2 linked regions of the Kluyveromyces lactis genome follow. The main gene of each other region encodes a partner of the protein of the gene in region 2 in a complex. Links are inferred from orthologs where the notes say so. Each region holds a gene or a part of one and is shown on either strand. Other genes may lie near its edges.

Region 1 (6,069 bases), on a different chromosome or scaffold from region 2:
GAAGAATTGGATATTGAATTAGATTCAGAAGAAGAGGAAAAGGACCAATTTTTAGCTAGAAACAAAACCAAAAAGTTGAATAAACAGTTGGAAAAGAATGAAAATAAGGCTCTAAAATACCAGCTCAACGAGTTATTAAAAATGCCACTAAGAAAAGATTTAAGAAAAAGCTATCTAACAGGAGGTCTGACCAATCTCGCTGACACTTTAGTCAAACATAAAGGTCACAATTCCATTATTGGACATGATAAAGTGGATGCATTGCAAACACTCAAGGGCAAGAAGCATAAATGAAGCCCTTTATCTGCTATAGAGAAATAAAAATAGGAAAACATATATATTCCCAATACAACAGTCGTTGTCGGAGTGTGAAGAATGTTTGAATTGCATGAAAAATATGTAATGTCTTGCAAATACAACTTAATCAAATATATCTTGGTGATACTTATGATAAAGAAAAGAATGAAAAGAAAGATATATATTTATAAACACTATTTATACATCGCTTGACTGAAGAGGTTTAAATGAAATCGTAGTCATCATCATCTTCATTTTCATCATAATATTCATCATCTGAATCTTCCATCAATTGTTCGAAGTTGACTTTATAACGAAGTAGCGCACCAATACCACCGAAACCAGTAACGAATTGAGCACCTTCAGAGGATTTATCGGTAATGAATTCTAGATTGGCACCGTAGTTTTTGTAATTTTCCGCAAGCCATTCAATTAATGGTTGTTCAGAGACCAAGTCCATTTCTGCTCCGGTAGTTTTATCAAGAGAGTATGATTTGTCTTGTTCCTCTGGTTCGACGAATTTTAGTACTTCTTTATCTTCAGAGTCCCTGTATACATATCTGATGGTTTCTAGATTTTCAAAAACAATCAAAATTTCAACAGCACCCAAATCCAAAGCCTTTAGAGTATCTTCGATACCGTAGCAGTATTTACCAGTATCTTGAGAGATTTGATCGAAATATTCGGTAATCAATTTCTTTTCTTGAATGAATTTAACATTGGCTAAGGCTTCTGCAGATAGTTCGATAGCTTGGTTGAAACCGTTTTCACCACCGTATGAGATATCAACGATCTTGACGATCTTAGCTTGCAATCTTTGATCGAACAATTCAGATTTGGCCAAATCTGTTTTGAAATCTGCAGAACCAGCCAAGATTAAACCTTTAACGTTCACCTTATCGTTCGTAATAAAATTTTGCACAGCAACTTCTGCCACTTTTCTGACATAGTTATGTCTCTTTTCTTCTCTTAAACGAGCAAAACGAACAGCGGATTGACCACCTCTACCATGCTTCTTTGGTAAATCAACAGTGAATTTATGCAAAACTGTTCTTGTGTTACCAGTCAAAAGACCGAACAATGCACCTTGACCATCCATCACGATGAAACCGAATTTATCATCTGCTTCTAGCAATTCAGAAAGAACCTCTGTGTGGAACTTATTGTCACATAAGTACAAAGAGGTGTTGATTGGTTTATAAGGTTCAATGTCAAATGTAACCTTCTTTTCTTTACCTTCTTCAGTTATCATATCACCACAATATAGCACCAAACCATTAGGTGGGATCTTAGTGTATAATTTTAGCTTTTGTTGTGTGGATGTGATAGCAGAGAGCACTGACAAACGGTTGACTCTCGATTTAATATTGGAAGCAGTACCATATTCATCAGTCAACATCTTTTGAATCATAGAAATTTGACCCTTTGGTGGAATGACAAGCGAAATCATAGAGGTACCATTACCCCTAGCCTTCTCTAGAGACTTGATCAATTTCTTGACCTTCCAGATCTCAATATTCTTCTCAGCATCAGTCTCCATTGTTTCAATTGCTGTACTATAGGATTAAGCTATTAGTTATATCTTCTTACCGGATTCTAAATCAAATAAAGATCGAAATACTAAACCTAATGAATATCGTTGATGGAACTAATGTACAAATGAAGCAAAAGCAAACTTGTACATATAAATTAGAATCCCATCTCTCTTTCTCTTAGACCATATTTACTAGTAATTTGTAACGTATAAGTTCTACATATTTTTCTCTTTCAAAAGTAACTGCACTCTCGTCGATGCAATACCAAATTTCAAAAATTTTCAGAATTCTTGAAAAGAAAGAGGATGCCGTTACCCTGCATCGCCGCATACGGTCTTGACTTTAAAGAGATAACCATTAAGAGTTTGTATGTAGAAGGAAATACTTAATCGTAAATAGTAGTAGAAAAACCATCTTATCTCGTAAAACAGTAAGTTGAATAAACTGCACGAACGTCGTCGCTAGAATATGATGTGATCTGGTCCAGTGCAGTTGTCAAACACAACAGGTGAAAACACCTTAACAAAGAAAAGATAAAACAAAGTAAAATATAATAAAAAAGAGGATGGAGTAGGGGGGGTCAACCAGGATGACATGACATGCTACTAGCAGCATTGGGCCAGAGAATATTTGTCTTTCATGTGATCATGCAATTGATCAGTTATGATCAAAGTCCGAATCACTTAGTAAATCGTACTCTTCAGAGAGCGACTCAACGTAGACGAGATCATTGTTTTCATTGTCTGCCTGCGCTGTATTTTCTTCTTCTTCCTCTTCTTCTTCCTCTTCTTCTTCTTCCTCCTCCTCTTCTTCTTGATCCGTGACTGAAGAAGATATAACATCAGTATCAGATTGTGAAGGGCTAGTTAATGTGTATTGAACATCAGGGTCTTCATCTTCGTTGCATGGTATATTTCTGCGATCACCCATTGGGAGCATCTTACAGACTGGAGGTTTTAAATGGAATACCGATGATCCTGGTACCGTGCTTTGTTCTGTGGTATATACCACTTGTTCTCTGACATCAATGAGATCAATCTTGCATGGTTGCTCAAAGCTAAATTCTTCCAATGTGCCACGGTAGTTAAAGTTCAAAATTTTGTAGTTACCTGGCTGTAATTCGTCTGGACCAACTTGTAAATTGCATTTAATCGGGGTTGCCACTCTGCCTTTCTGTTCGCACTGGAACACTAATTTTAATCCATTTGGAATTGTTTCGTCACCATCATTAAAAAGTTTAAATGTTAACAAATGACCTTTTTGGAACATCTCTACCCTTAATGAAGGATTTGATGACCCTTGAGTATTCATAGTTGCCTCATCGGAAGACTCATTCTCTCGCTCCTTCTGAGCGTTTTCTTGCATCATATTCTGATACCTCTCTAATTTCTCATAGATGTCTTCTCCGTACCACTGCTTTGCAATTCTCCAGCTGATGGCATCTTGCATTAATTTCTCCAATTCACTCTCTGTTTTGATTTCAGCAAAGAAATCAAACATTGCCTTGTTCTGTTGTCCAACTTCAATGATAACATCGTTAAAATCATGCTGCACATTAGCAGCTGGTACGCGAGGAGAAGAGTTTCTAGGTGATGCTTTGTCTTTTCCGTAAAAGCCTTCAACCTTAATTTCAGATGGCAATGGTTCTGGATTATATCTAGGTGGAGCAGGAAACTGACTGTACCTGGATGTTGCAGGGACTTGGTAATACCTTGATGGAGCAGGAGCCTGATTATACCTAGATGGAGCAGGAACTTGGTTGTACCTAGATGGAGCAGGCACTTGATTGTACCTGGATGGTCTCGTAACTTGCTGATGTGTGCTCTTCAAGTAGTCCGAAGTAAACGATTTCAATTTAGCATCGGGTGTGACAACCTTAACGAAGTTATGGTAGGATTTGTGAGTACCCGAAGTGAATCCCTTCTTTTCGCATTCGCTGCATAAATCATAATCGTGACAGTATAAGCAACAAAATCTGGGCCCCTTGATGAACCCATTTTGATCTGCGGTTTTTGTATTGACAACACGGATTCCATCAGCCGGACCTTGGCACCCATCGCAGACTATTCCCTCATGAACAGTATCCTCAGAAGTTGAACTGTTAACATTATTGCCTCTAATAGATAATTCGAGTTTTTCTAACGATCTGATTAGTTTATCCCATTGAGATGATGGGATGGACATTTTAGTATCATTTCCATCTGTGATCGCATCTGTGATGCTTCCAGCGTCATGAGGTTCATAGTGATTTTTTTCAGCCACATCGATGTACAAAGTTCCCACTGTTAGAACATCATCCCAAATGCTTTCAAGGTCTTTGTAATTACGTATCGGAGTTCTTTCAGAAGCCGTTTCATTTACTTTGGCTGTTACCGCATATGAATCAAAAATATTCGTTGATTGAAACAAGCTAAGGCCTATTTTTCTCAAAGCCACCATATCAGGGCTTGATCTGGCTTGAATTACTTGACGAGAGGATATTCCCTTTGGACCTGTGAAATGGATATCCACCTGATGACCATAGTAACTATCATAGGACATTATTGTTGAGTAAAAAAGGTGTTGTTCGGATCTTTGAAAAGTCAGTGATTAAGTGTATTGTAAAACTAACTCTACAGTGGCAAATATAACTTGAATAATCTGTTACCGACCGTTATATAGTCTTCTTTAAATGTGATACTGAGTAGAAGTAGTCAAAAACCCCCTTTGCCTCCCCTTTTATTTCTTTATATATATTTCTAGATCAGGGGAAATACATAATTTATCTTTTTTATCTCCTTGAGATTAGGAAAATTCCAGGAATTCCTCGGTTTGAAGACAAAAAAATAAACTGTTCTTAATTGCTATGGTAAAGCAGAACTATAAACTGACACTGGCAGCAGTGCCTCGTCAAGAGGGGTTTCCAGTCAAAGTATTAATGCTTTTCGAACCTCTGAAACTTGAAACGGTAACTGCCAACTTAATGCATTACTTTGGATCTTGTTAAGAGTGTGTAGAGATTATTAAAGTATTAAATTGAACTATAAAAAACTATTATATTAAAGATGGAAAAGGAGAAGAAAGTAGAGAGTAGAAGTAAAGAAATACAAGTAGACATTCAATACCGTATTATTTCGTGATGCGGAATAATCCAGCTTTTTTTACCCATTATTTTAACTTATGGCAATTTCACTTTTTGGCAATCATTTCGTAGTCTGGAGGACTATTAGAGTATGTTGTCTTACCCGTCTCGTCATAACCAGCGAAATCATCTCTAACATCCACACCACTGGCAGATGCAATGGATATTTGCTGATGGGACAATCCCATAGGATCTCTTGCACACCATATAATTGGTTCCTTCTCTCTAACACAAGGCTCGGTGAAGGCGGTTTCCAAGTACTCCAAATCGTATCTAATGACGTCATTGAAGACATAAGGTAGAGTTTGCCTTACAATAGCGAAATCGTAGTACTTCTGAGGTTGGAAGAATAGCTTGCAACGGGCCACGATACTCTTTGGTCTGATCAGATCGGATGGTAAACCGAGTTGCTCTTCTGGTGCATTTATTGGGTAACCCTTAACATCGGAGATAACTTGCCCAGCATCCGCGCGGTTGACAATGATGTTGGGGTCTCTTTCTTCCTGGTGAACTTCTGGTGGTGGAATTTGTGGAGGTACTTTTGTCTTATGGAATTGTTCTGAATCGTTGACAAAGGTGCTTGGATTCTGTTTCGAGCTGCCCGAAATAGTTCCGTTACCATTATTGCTCTTTGAATCATTTTCAAGAGAATCTTCATACTCATCAGGCAGCATGTTAACTCTCTGCAAATCTTGTTTTGTAGTTTCTTGGAAGACCCCATTTCTATCTTCAGATAGAATGTTTTCTGCAAGTTTCTTACCTTCGACTTGAATTTCGTTCAAACCTTGATCCTTGGCTGGGTAATAAGAACCTTCTTCACCTCTAGCGTATCTGATTGCGCTCAATGGAACTGCATCAAACAATGGAATAAATCTTCTCTTGAAGTAAATATGGGCAAGAGCAGTAGCAGCCAAGAAGACTGCTTCCAAAACCAAAGGACCCCATGTCTTGGCCATGATGAAAAGACCAATTAGACATATTTCAGCTAAGTACAATCCAACAAATACTTGGAATAATGCTCTTGGATAGTTCCTACCACGTAAATCATAGCTGAAGCTCATCACATATGTCAAATTGTACAAATAGGCAAGGAAGAAGAAACCTAGTGCAACGGTA
Region 2 (9,443 bases):
TCTTAAGTTCTTTGGATTTCATTATGGATTCCAACGTTGATTTTACAAACAAAACAACCGATTTAATGTTCGCGTTATTCATAGATACAATTGACGCATTTCTAGCATGGGCCGCTCCCTCGGTGTTACTATTTACAGTTTTATTTGCTGATGGAGATGGCGTCACATCAACATCAGGCACATCAGGGGTGTTGTTCTCCACGTTCGCATCAGCGTCGGTTACCGAATTCACATTGATATCAACAGTCGTGGTCGAATCTAGGGCTTGTATATCACGTTCCTCAGCAATTGCTGGGTTCGTGCGGTCCACAGGTTCTTCTGACATGTTTGGCAATATTTCTTCGACAGCACTGCACCTTAGTGTGTATATAATCACCTCCGTAATCGTTCCACCAAATACGATATTATGTATACTTCTTTCTGAATCTCATTTAATTTCAGATATTTTTTTTCTTTCCTTTTAAGGTGGATGGCTGGCTCCGTTTTTCCCCTATAATAGGAGAATTGGCTTGAAGATCTGCTCTCTGAAGTCTTTCTGAAGTATAAGTGATTAAGTAAAGCAGCTGAATGATGTTACCAGAATGTTCAGCCAAGAGGCAGTGATATAAACCGTAGATACTTGCTACAGGAAATGGATCTGGAAACTTAAGTTTAGTTCTACATTGTATAATTTTATAAGCCTCTTCTGCTGTGTCGAGCACGTGATTTGTTGATCACGTGATTAGAATCATCTATGATGAGAATTATCTATTGGAGTAACCTCTTTTATAGCACTTCATAGCCCACAAAGGGACGCCAAATTTGGTATATTCTGGAGCATTTGTAATAATTTCCAAACTTACAATCTGAATTTACTTTTCATATCTCTACTTTGAGTTTGGGACCTCAAATCTCCGTTGGCGACCTTAGTGATTGAGAATAACAACCTAAAAACAAGTAAACAGATTGCATGTATGTCAATTAGTGCGGTTAACTAACACCTTCATGTGTAAAGCATCTATCTACCCATATGTATGTATACATATCTCCATAGGAGATATTTAGTCGTTGTTTTCCCTGTTTAATACTGGCGGTGCTGACATAATATGCTGTACCATTTTCCTCCGAAGGAAATCCGTCGGAGGAAAATTGACATGCGTCAGTTAGTGAAACAAAAACGTAGATAGCGTGTGATTAGGATAACAAAAAGAGGTACGGGAGATAGAAAACGGAAAGCTCGAGCGATTTGTATAGTTTCGAGTGCATGGGAGCCTAGTTATCTTTGTGTAAATTATTACAGGATATATTATCCTTCAAAATCTATAAAAGAAGAGCGTTTGTCGAAGAAGAAGAACTTAGTTTGGATAAGGTTCAATTAAGTAATGCATATAGTAAACACATCTATAAGTATCAAGATTAAATCAAAAAGTATCAATCATTAAGGATATTGTGAAATTATCAACTAAAGATGAGTCCAATCGCCGTTACCCGTAAGGAAGTAGAACAACACATCAAAGCGACACCAGTTAATGATGTCCTTTTAACCACCTACCCAGAAGATTCCTCTCCTATCCCATTGAACTGGGGTGCTGCTGATTGTCAAGAAAGGGGTCCTGTGGTTCCATCAAGAAATAAAAGTGGTATCTCTAAACACAATTGCATCGGTGCTCATGCTGGTCCATACTGCATCTATAATGCTTTGGCCATTGGTTCAAACCAGTTAAAACGCGACCATATTCCAGACTATACCAACGCGCAACCTGTGTTTACAATCCCAGAACAGCCATCATGGTTTAACAACCGTGATATTGTATCGATGGATCCTTTTGGTCACTTAACACCTTATTTGTTTGATGATGTTGCTAAGTCTGCAAACGTGGATATCAGACCAACTATTGCCATCACCAAGGCAACCATGCAATTGCTTGAGTTGAAAGAGGCCGTTGATAAAGGCGAATTGAAAATCGACGGTAATATCATTGTCAACTCTAACGGTGACCTAAGTGTTTCGAAGATTGCCGTTGAACCTGTTTGGTATTTACCAGGGGTCGCTGAAAGATTTGGAATCACTGAAGAAGAGTTAAGAAAATGTTTATTTGAGGATACAAATGGTATGTACCCAGAATTGATCACTAGACCCGATATCAAAACTTACATGCCTCCAATTGGTGGATTGACAGTGTATATTTTCGGTAATCCGCAAAACATTTCCAATCCAGAAAAGAAAATCGCTTTGAGAGTTCACGATGAATGTAACGGTTCCGACGTCTTCGGTTCTGATATTTGTACTTGCCGTCCATACTTGATGTTTGGTATTATTGAAGCAGTAAAGGAGGCCCAGAATGGAGGAACTGGTCTTGTTATTTACTTCCGTAAAGAAGGGCGTGCACTTGGTGAAGTTACCAAATATTTAGTATACAATGCTCGTAAGAGAGGCGGTGATACCGCTGACGAGTATTTCCACAGAACAGAATGTATCGCTGGTGTGAGGGATATGAGATTTCAACAATTAATGCCAGACGTCCTTAAATGGTTAGGTATTTCCAAGATCGATAAGATGTTGTCCATGTCAAACATGAAATATGATGCAATCGTTGATCAGGGAATTGAAATCGTCGAAAGAATTCCGATTCCAGATGAAATGATTCCTCCAGATTCCAGAGTTGAAATCGATGCTAAAATCAACTCAGGTTATTTCTCATCAGAAAAAGCACCAACTAAAGAGGAATTACAATCAGTCCATGGGAGATTATGGAACGATGTGTGAAATTTTCGTTAGCTCATGTTCTCCGGATGTTACTTAACTTAAAAAAAATACCGAAACGGAACTAGACTTTGACCTCCCAATGATAAATAAGTGGATGAATACCACATGCAATATTTTGTTACTATTTTGAAGCCAGTTAATATATGTATAGATTTTGTATGTTTTCTATTGGCAAGCATATCATTCTGGAATGATATGAATGCCGCAATTCTATGAATACCTTTTTTGATAACATCTACTGACAGAAGAATGTATTTATAAAAATAAAAAAGACAACTGAGCACCGTTCGAGCAAGCCAGATGATGCTACATCAACTGCGTAAAGAAAGAATTGAGCTCATGAGGACGAGGAATCACCTATAGATGGCGTTTTGAATATACAGCATGAACATCAAAGACTTTAAGAAACTAAAACGTCAAGCTGCTGGCCATGAAGGACCATTAACGGATCCCAATGAGATGCTTCTGTTCAAACCTTCCACGAAACAAGAAATAAAGTTTTATGAACACTTGGCCACCAGACATGCAATAGACAACACGGATGACATTCCATTACAGGACTGGACACCTACATTCTTAGGTATATTGCAAGAGAATAAAGAACAGAACAAAGACTTTGACCAAGAAAGAGTAATAGAGAGACTGAACGCGTGTTCCCCCACAAGTCTAACTAGTAAGTCACAAACCGATGGAAATGTTTACTTAGTTATGGAAAATCTATTGCACGGATATGTACGACCAAACGTATTGGATATCAAGTTAGGACATGTTCTGTGGGATGATGCAGCAAGTGAAGAGAAAAGAATAAGATTAGATGAAGTAAGTAAGACATCAACTTCTGGGACTTTAGGGTTTAGAATATGTGGTATGAATATCTTAAAAAACACAAATGTCCAAGAACTACACTCGAAGTATTATGAACCGGAAGATGATGGGTATATTTTTGTCAATAAATATTACGGTCGTGAGTTGACAGCTTCGAATGTAACGGACGCATTTGATTTGTACTTTGGCGATAATAATCTTTCACTCCAAAATCGTAATGATTTGATTCACATGTTTTCAAAAAGGCTTCAGCTTTTCTATAATACGCTATTGAATGAAGAGGTTCGCATGATATCAAGTAGCCTTCTATTCATATATGAATGCGATACTACTCGGTGGATCAACTTCTCTCAGGAACAAGAATTAATACCGTCCCATGTATCATATGATTCGGATGAGGAAGGGTCCATTAAAGATGGACAGTCAAAGGAGAGCATATCAGGAAAGACAGAATTGAGTCGCATGTCGATAATAGATTTTGCACATACCAAATTTACCCCAGGATTAGGAATAGATGACAATGTACTTGACGGGGTTGAAAGTCTTATAGACATTTTTGAAAGATTAAAAACTAAATATACAATCTAGACTAGACACCTAGTAAATATGCATTGTGATATGGATTCATAAAAACCGAGATCAATTTTCAAGGATTTTCACAATCTTACCGATAGCAATGGTGGTACCTTGATCTCTTAAAGTGAATCTACCCAATTGTGGGTAATCATCGTATGTTTCAACACATACCGGTTCATTAGTCTCGATAACGGCAATGATCTTCATACCCTTTTTAGCAAATGCTGGAGGCTTCTTTGATTTTCTGTTTGACCCCTTCTCAAGCTTGTGAAGCAATCTTGTGACGGTGACTTCTTCGATAGCTGTATGAATATGCATAACGCACGAGAAACCAGCAGACATGATCGATTTCAATTCGACAATAGCAATTTGAGCCACAAATCTCGTTACATTCTTAACTGGGTTTTTTGGAGAGGTTAGAACGAAACCAGCAGAAATTTCTTCTTCTTCGACACCTTTAATTCTTAATCTAACCTGCTCACCACAAACAGCCATGTCAACTTCGCTTTCAGTTTCGTTATAAATGGTCAGAATTTCAACAGAGGTCCTGTTAGGCATTAGTAAAGTTTGGTTACCCTTTCTAATGTGTCCAGATTCGATTTTACCTTCCACAACAGTACCCATGTCCTTCATCTTAGAAGCAATTGGAAGCATGAATGGAGCATTGATATGACGATCAGTAGTCTTCATATTGTCAAGATATTCTAATAAAGATGGACCAGTATACCATGGACAGTCCTTAGGATCGACACGTTCCTTCAAACCTGCACCTGTGTAACCAGACACTGGCATGAAAATGACGTCCTCCTTAACATTGTAACCCACAGCCTTCAAAAAGTTTGTCAAGTTACCAACACAGTGATCATATCTTTCCTTATCCCATCCCACAGTTGGATCATCCATCTTGTTGATAACTACAATCATTTTGTTGACACCTTGTGTCTTGGCTAATAAAGCGTGCTCACGAGTTTGACCACCCTTTTCGAAACCAGTTTCATATTCACCCTTTCTAGCAGAAATAACCAAAATACCAATATCGGCTTGAGATGCACCACCAATCATTTCAGAAACATACATTTTGTGACCGGGAGCATCCAAAATAGTGTAACGTCTCTTTTCAGTTTCAAAGTACGCTCTACCCACTTCAATGGTTTTACCGTCGTTTCTTTCTTCTTTGTTGGTATCCATCACCCATGATAAATACCAACCTTGTCTACCAGCCTCTTTAGCCTCTCTCTCATATTTCTCAACGGTTCTTTTATCCACAGAACCAGTCAGATATAACAAGTTACCACCCATTGTTGACTTACCAGCATCGACGTGACCCATGAAAATGATGGAAACATGATCCTTACCACCAAACATATCTTTAACGACTTCTTCGTCAACCTCATCTTCTTGTTCCTTGATTAGAGCATCCACGGAGTTCGCTCCTCCTGTAGATGTGTCTGCCTTAGCGCTGGTAGTCTTCTCTGAGGAAGTATCATCAGCAGATGGGGTATTCTCCTTAGTTTTTGGTTTTTCAGCCTCTGAGATTTTCAAATCATCAATTTTGGGCAATTCAGATTGTGCTTCTTCGTTGTCGTCGGTAGTTTTAGTTGCTTCCTTGGATTCATCAGTTTTCTCAGTTTTGGGTGCTACAGGTTTCTTGGCACCTACTAACTTAATACCAGAGCTAGAGGCCAACTTTAACTTAGGCTTTGGCTTGGCTGCATTAGTACTGCCTTGTTGGTTTTGGAAATCTTTCAAAGTCATACCCTGGGATGAAGACTGTGCTGGAGCAGCGTAACCGGTTGGCTGTTGTGCATTATATCCTTGAGCACCTTGATAACCCTGCTTATTATAGTTATTGTAACTGTTTTTATTATTATAATTTTTATTGTAGTTATTGTTGTGACCGCCTTGCTGAGCGTTGTAACCTTGTTGCTGAGCATTGTAGCCCTGGTAAGGTTGGTAGCCTTGAGCTTGTTGAGGGTTGTAGCCCTGGTAGGCTCCTTGAGGCTGCTGTCCATAAGCTTGATATGCTTGGTAGCCTTGAGGAGCACCTTGTTGGCCGTTGTAGCCTTGATAGCCCTGTTGGTTGTAGTACTGGTTGTACTGGCCATATTGGTTATACTGATTGTAACCTTGGCCTTGCCCTTGGTCTTGATTTTGTTGGTCTGACATGTCTACTAGTAGATGCTATAGACCGGTACCTTGTTCCAATTTAAGCTTGCAAATAGAGGGCAATTCGCTGATGGGAGGATCATGATGATCATCAGTAACGCTTTCTTACACTTTTCGATCTTCTCTATCAAGCTGTTTAAAATTTTTTGCAATTAGCGATGATGTAATTTTATACGACTGCATATATTCCTAAATAGACTAACACCATTGTAGCGCCCAATACGTAATATGGCATCAATAACCTGGTGCAACCGTTCCGTTCTTCCTCTATGTAACTGTATAAAATGAGGGTGCTGGTATTCGTGTAATATTAATATTATACATAAGCGATTACTAAACATGAGATCTTATTTTAATTCATAACAATTGTTCATATAAATGTTTGGCTGAACCAGTTTTCCAATGTGAAGCCAGGGATGATTTCATAAATTGCGAGGAGCAGTCTCAAACACAAGTTCTTCATCTGGTACATCTTCTATTATAATTCTTTTCTTTGGTTGTGGTTTATTAGCATCTTGTGGAATTTTTGGGACTTTGATTTGAAGCAATCCGTTAAAGTACGATGCTTTAATCTCTTCATCTTTAATTCTCGGTAAAACGGGGAACTTGACAGATCTTTCAAAATCACCGTATTTCAATTCTGAGATCTTCACGTACTTTTTATCAATCCCGATCTTGTTGTCGACAGCACCTTTGATCAGTAACTCGTGCGATGAAGGATGGAAATCAATTTTAAACTCCTTCGAGTTCGCACCAGGTAATGCCAATACAACAACGTACTGTTCGGGAGTATCATAAACGTTAACTTCTGGAGAAAATGGTAGATCAAGTCTCAATTCTGGGTTTGAAACTTGCAAAGGTGCAGGAACCGGAGATCTGAAACCGCTGGGCTCGTAAGCTAGTTTATCCTTTTGGTTTACGTCCTTTTCGCTGTCAACGGAGGAAGTAGTCTTATTCAACTTTTGTTGTTCCTCATTATTGTGCATGTTATAATCTTCGTTGTACTCGTCAGAAGCGTCTTCTCCTTGCTCTGCTGTTTCCTCGTCTATTTGCTGATCATTACGTTCTTTTTCTTCCTCGGAATATTGATTTGCAAGAGCTTCTTCGGCTGCCGCAAGAGCAGCGGCTTGCTCCTGTTCATCGTTTTCTTGTTCATCATCAGTTGCTTGTCTCTGACTTTCTTCATCAGCATCCCCTCTGAAAATGTCGGAATTACCACCGGCCAAAGCACTCAAAAGAGCCCCAACTACATCATCACCAGATGTTGGTCCAACAGCCCTTCTAGAAGCTGTTGTTGGAGCACCGGTCCTGCGAACAGTACGGTGTGGATGGTAATGCGTGGGTCTTCTCTGAGGTTGAGCATCTTCATTTGTGTAATAAACTGGCTGGTAGTAGGATGCGTTTGGAACTGAATAGTAATAGCTGCCAGGAACGTAGCCCTGTCTTCTAGCGGCAAAAGGGTCGTATCTGTCATACCCTTGATTAGCAGCTCTTCTTTGAGGTTGTCTTCCACCGTAGATATTATCTTCATAATCACCTCTGGCGCCAGCCTTGTTAGTTAATGCATCTAGAACGTCGTAAAGGGACAAAGATGGTTGATAAAAACTCATAATGGAAAGGGTTGATATGGTAATATGTATAATTGCACTCAAAGGCTATATCCGTCCTTCCTTTGAATAAACCGCTAGAAAGCTGTTTTTGCTGTTACTAGGATCAATTTGAACCTATAGGTAGCAATATACCAGACAATCACAAATTACATCAAATTGGCAATGGCAAATCTAGGGATTGCCACCGAAGAATTAAACCTTTTATACCTTTTTTCTCCCTTAATAATGCGTGAATTTAGCCTTTTTTTTCCTTCAGTACCAGTAGAAGATCGAAAAGTCTAGTAATATGTGGAACGTTAGGGAAGTTCATAGAAATAAAGTTGGAGGAGACAAAAAACAAGGCTGACATATAGCCGTAAGAGTGGCGACCAGCAACGAATGGCTTTGAGGCTTGAAGGATTCCTACGATAACCAATATAGCGCATCTTTTGGTCTCAGTACTATTGTCAAAAGGATGCTTCTTATTTATGTATAGGTTCATGTTTTTTCTCGGAGTTTGTAACGTCAATTTCCAACCTATCTTTTCGTCCATCAGCACATACAAATTTCATTGAGCATAAATTTATGTAGGAAATGAGATATAATGCAGGATATGTTCCTTAATATTCCCAATTTCCGATGCACGTACACATTTTAGTTGGAGTTTCTGGAATAATTCGTGAGGTACCGAAGCAAAACAATGAGAAGCTTTTGTTCATGGACAAATGAATAAAGTTTTGTCCTTAACAGTCACGCAAGAGAGTTATGTCGCCGTAACGTAGGTTTTTTGGAGCTTAACGTATGGTTTTCAAAACTAAGTATTTCGCGTTCACATTCTAATTTGCTATGTGATCGGCGGGAAGACTTTCGCAGTTCAATATGGGTCTTTCAGTTCATCGTACATTTTGTCGTAAGATAGACTGAAGACAAGCCAGACGAGAGGTCATGTGAGCTAGCCAGCACACGACAGAGTTCCAAGACGTCAGTGACTGTGCATATGGATCCTGTGGTATCCAGAGGGGATGGCCTAGATGGATCATAGACGGCCACGTGATGGTCTTGAGTGCGCGTGGAGGACAGTAGCTGCACAGGACCTACAAGGGCATGGAGGCAATGAGTTGCCATGACGAAGTCTGACGACCATGCGAGTATATAAGTCGAGTATAAAAGGCTGAGCTATGTTGCGACCTCTTGGGGAGGTTGGATGCAACAAGAGAAAGAAGAAGCAAGGACGCATATACTCAACGATCTAGCTAAATAGATTATTATATTATAATCGTTGTATTGTTTGATATCAACGATCCCTCATCAGGCGATTAATCAATCAACTATCATCCAAAGCATATCACAAGAACTTTTATTATTTGGTTGTATAGTGTAGTGGTTATCACTTTCGGTTTTGATCCGAACAACCCCGGTTCGAATCCGGGTACGACCTACTTTTTTTCTCATCTTCTCATTTGAGAAGATGGAGTGTGTGTAGTAAGTCATTCTCCTAAACATAACAATAATCTACATATAACTCCTCTAAGAACAATAAG

What was found. Proteins that work in one complex are often made in the same cells at the same time.
Region 1: the proteins of SUP35 (region 2) and SUP45 are in contact, whole or in part, in a crystal structure (PDB 3E20), measured with the Schizosaccharomyces pombe proteins. The link is inferred for Kluyveromyces lactis from reciprocal best matches to the Schizosaccharomyces pombe genes sup35 and erf1. Residues at the interface, in NP_588225.1 of Schizosaccharomyces pombe: Ser571, Ile572, Leu573, Thr574, Thr575, Gly576, Tyr577, Ser578, Met611, Phe612, Asp647; in NP_594680.1 of Schizosaccharomyces pombe: Gln285, Phe288, Ile291, Ser292, Tyr298, Phe300, Gln396, Met399, Gln400, Lys403, Gly404, Phe405.

Annotation. Positions count from the first base shown.
Region 1 is NC_006039.1:961,292-967,360, reverse strand, and holds SUP45 (translation termination factor eRF1), read right to left. Parts: upstream 1,838-6,069; coding exon 521-1,837; downstream 1-520. Other genes in the region: MAK5 (ATP-dependent RNA helicase), read left to right, coding at 1-294; ATG19 (Atg19p), read right to left, coding at 2,490-4,373; PHM7 (Phm7p), read right to left, coding at 5,001-6,069. UniProt on the Schizosaccharomyces pombe protein: Component of the eRF1-eRF3-GTP ternary complex, a ternary complex that mediates translation termination in response to the termination codons. The eRF1-eRF3-GTP complex binds to a stop codon in the ribosomal A-site.
Region 2 is NC_006040.1:1,482,745-1,492,187, forward strand, and holds SUP35 (translation termination factor GTPase eRF3), read right to left. Parts: upstream 6,314-9,443; coding exon 4,211-6,313; downstream 1-4,210. Other genes in the region: Arf family guanine nucleotide exchange factor SEC7, read right to left, coding at 1-325; KLLA0_D17380g (uncharacterized protein), read left to right, coding at 1,448-2,746; ARG82 (inositol polyphosphate multikinase), read left to right, coding at 3,131-4,159; heat shock protein HSP42, read right to left, coding at 6,736-7,923. UniProt on the Schizosaccharomyces pombe protein: GTPase component of the eRF1-eRF3-GTP ternary complex, a ternary complex that mediates translation termination in response to the termination codons.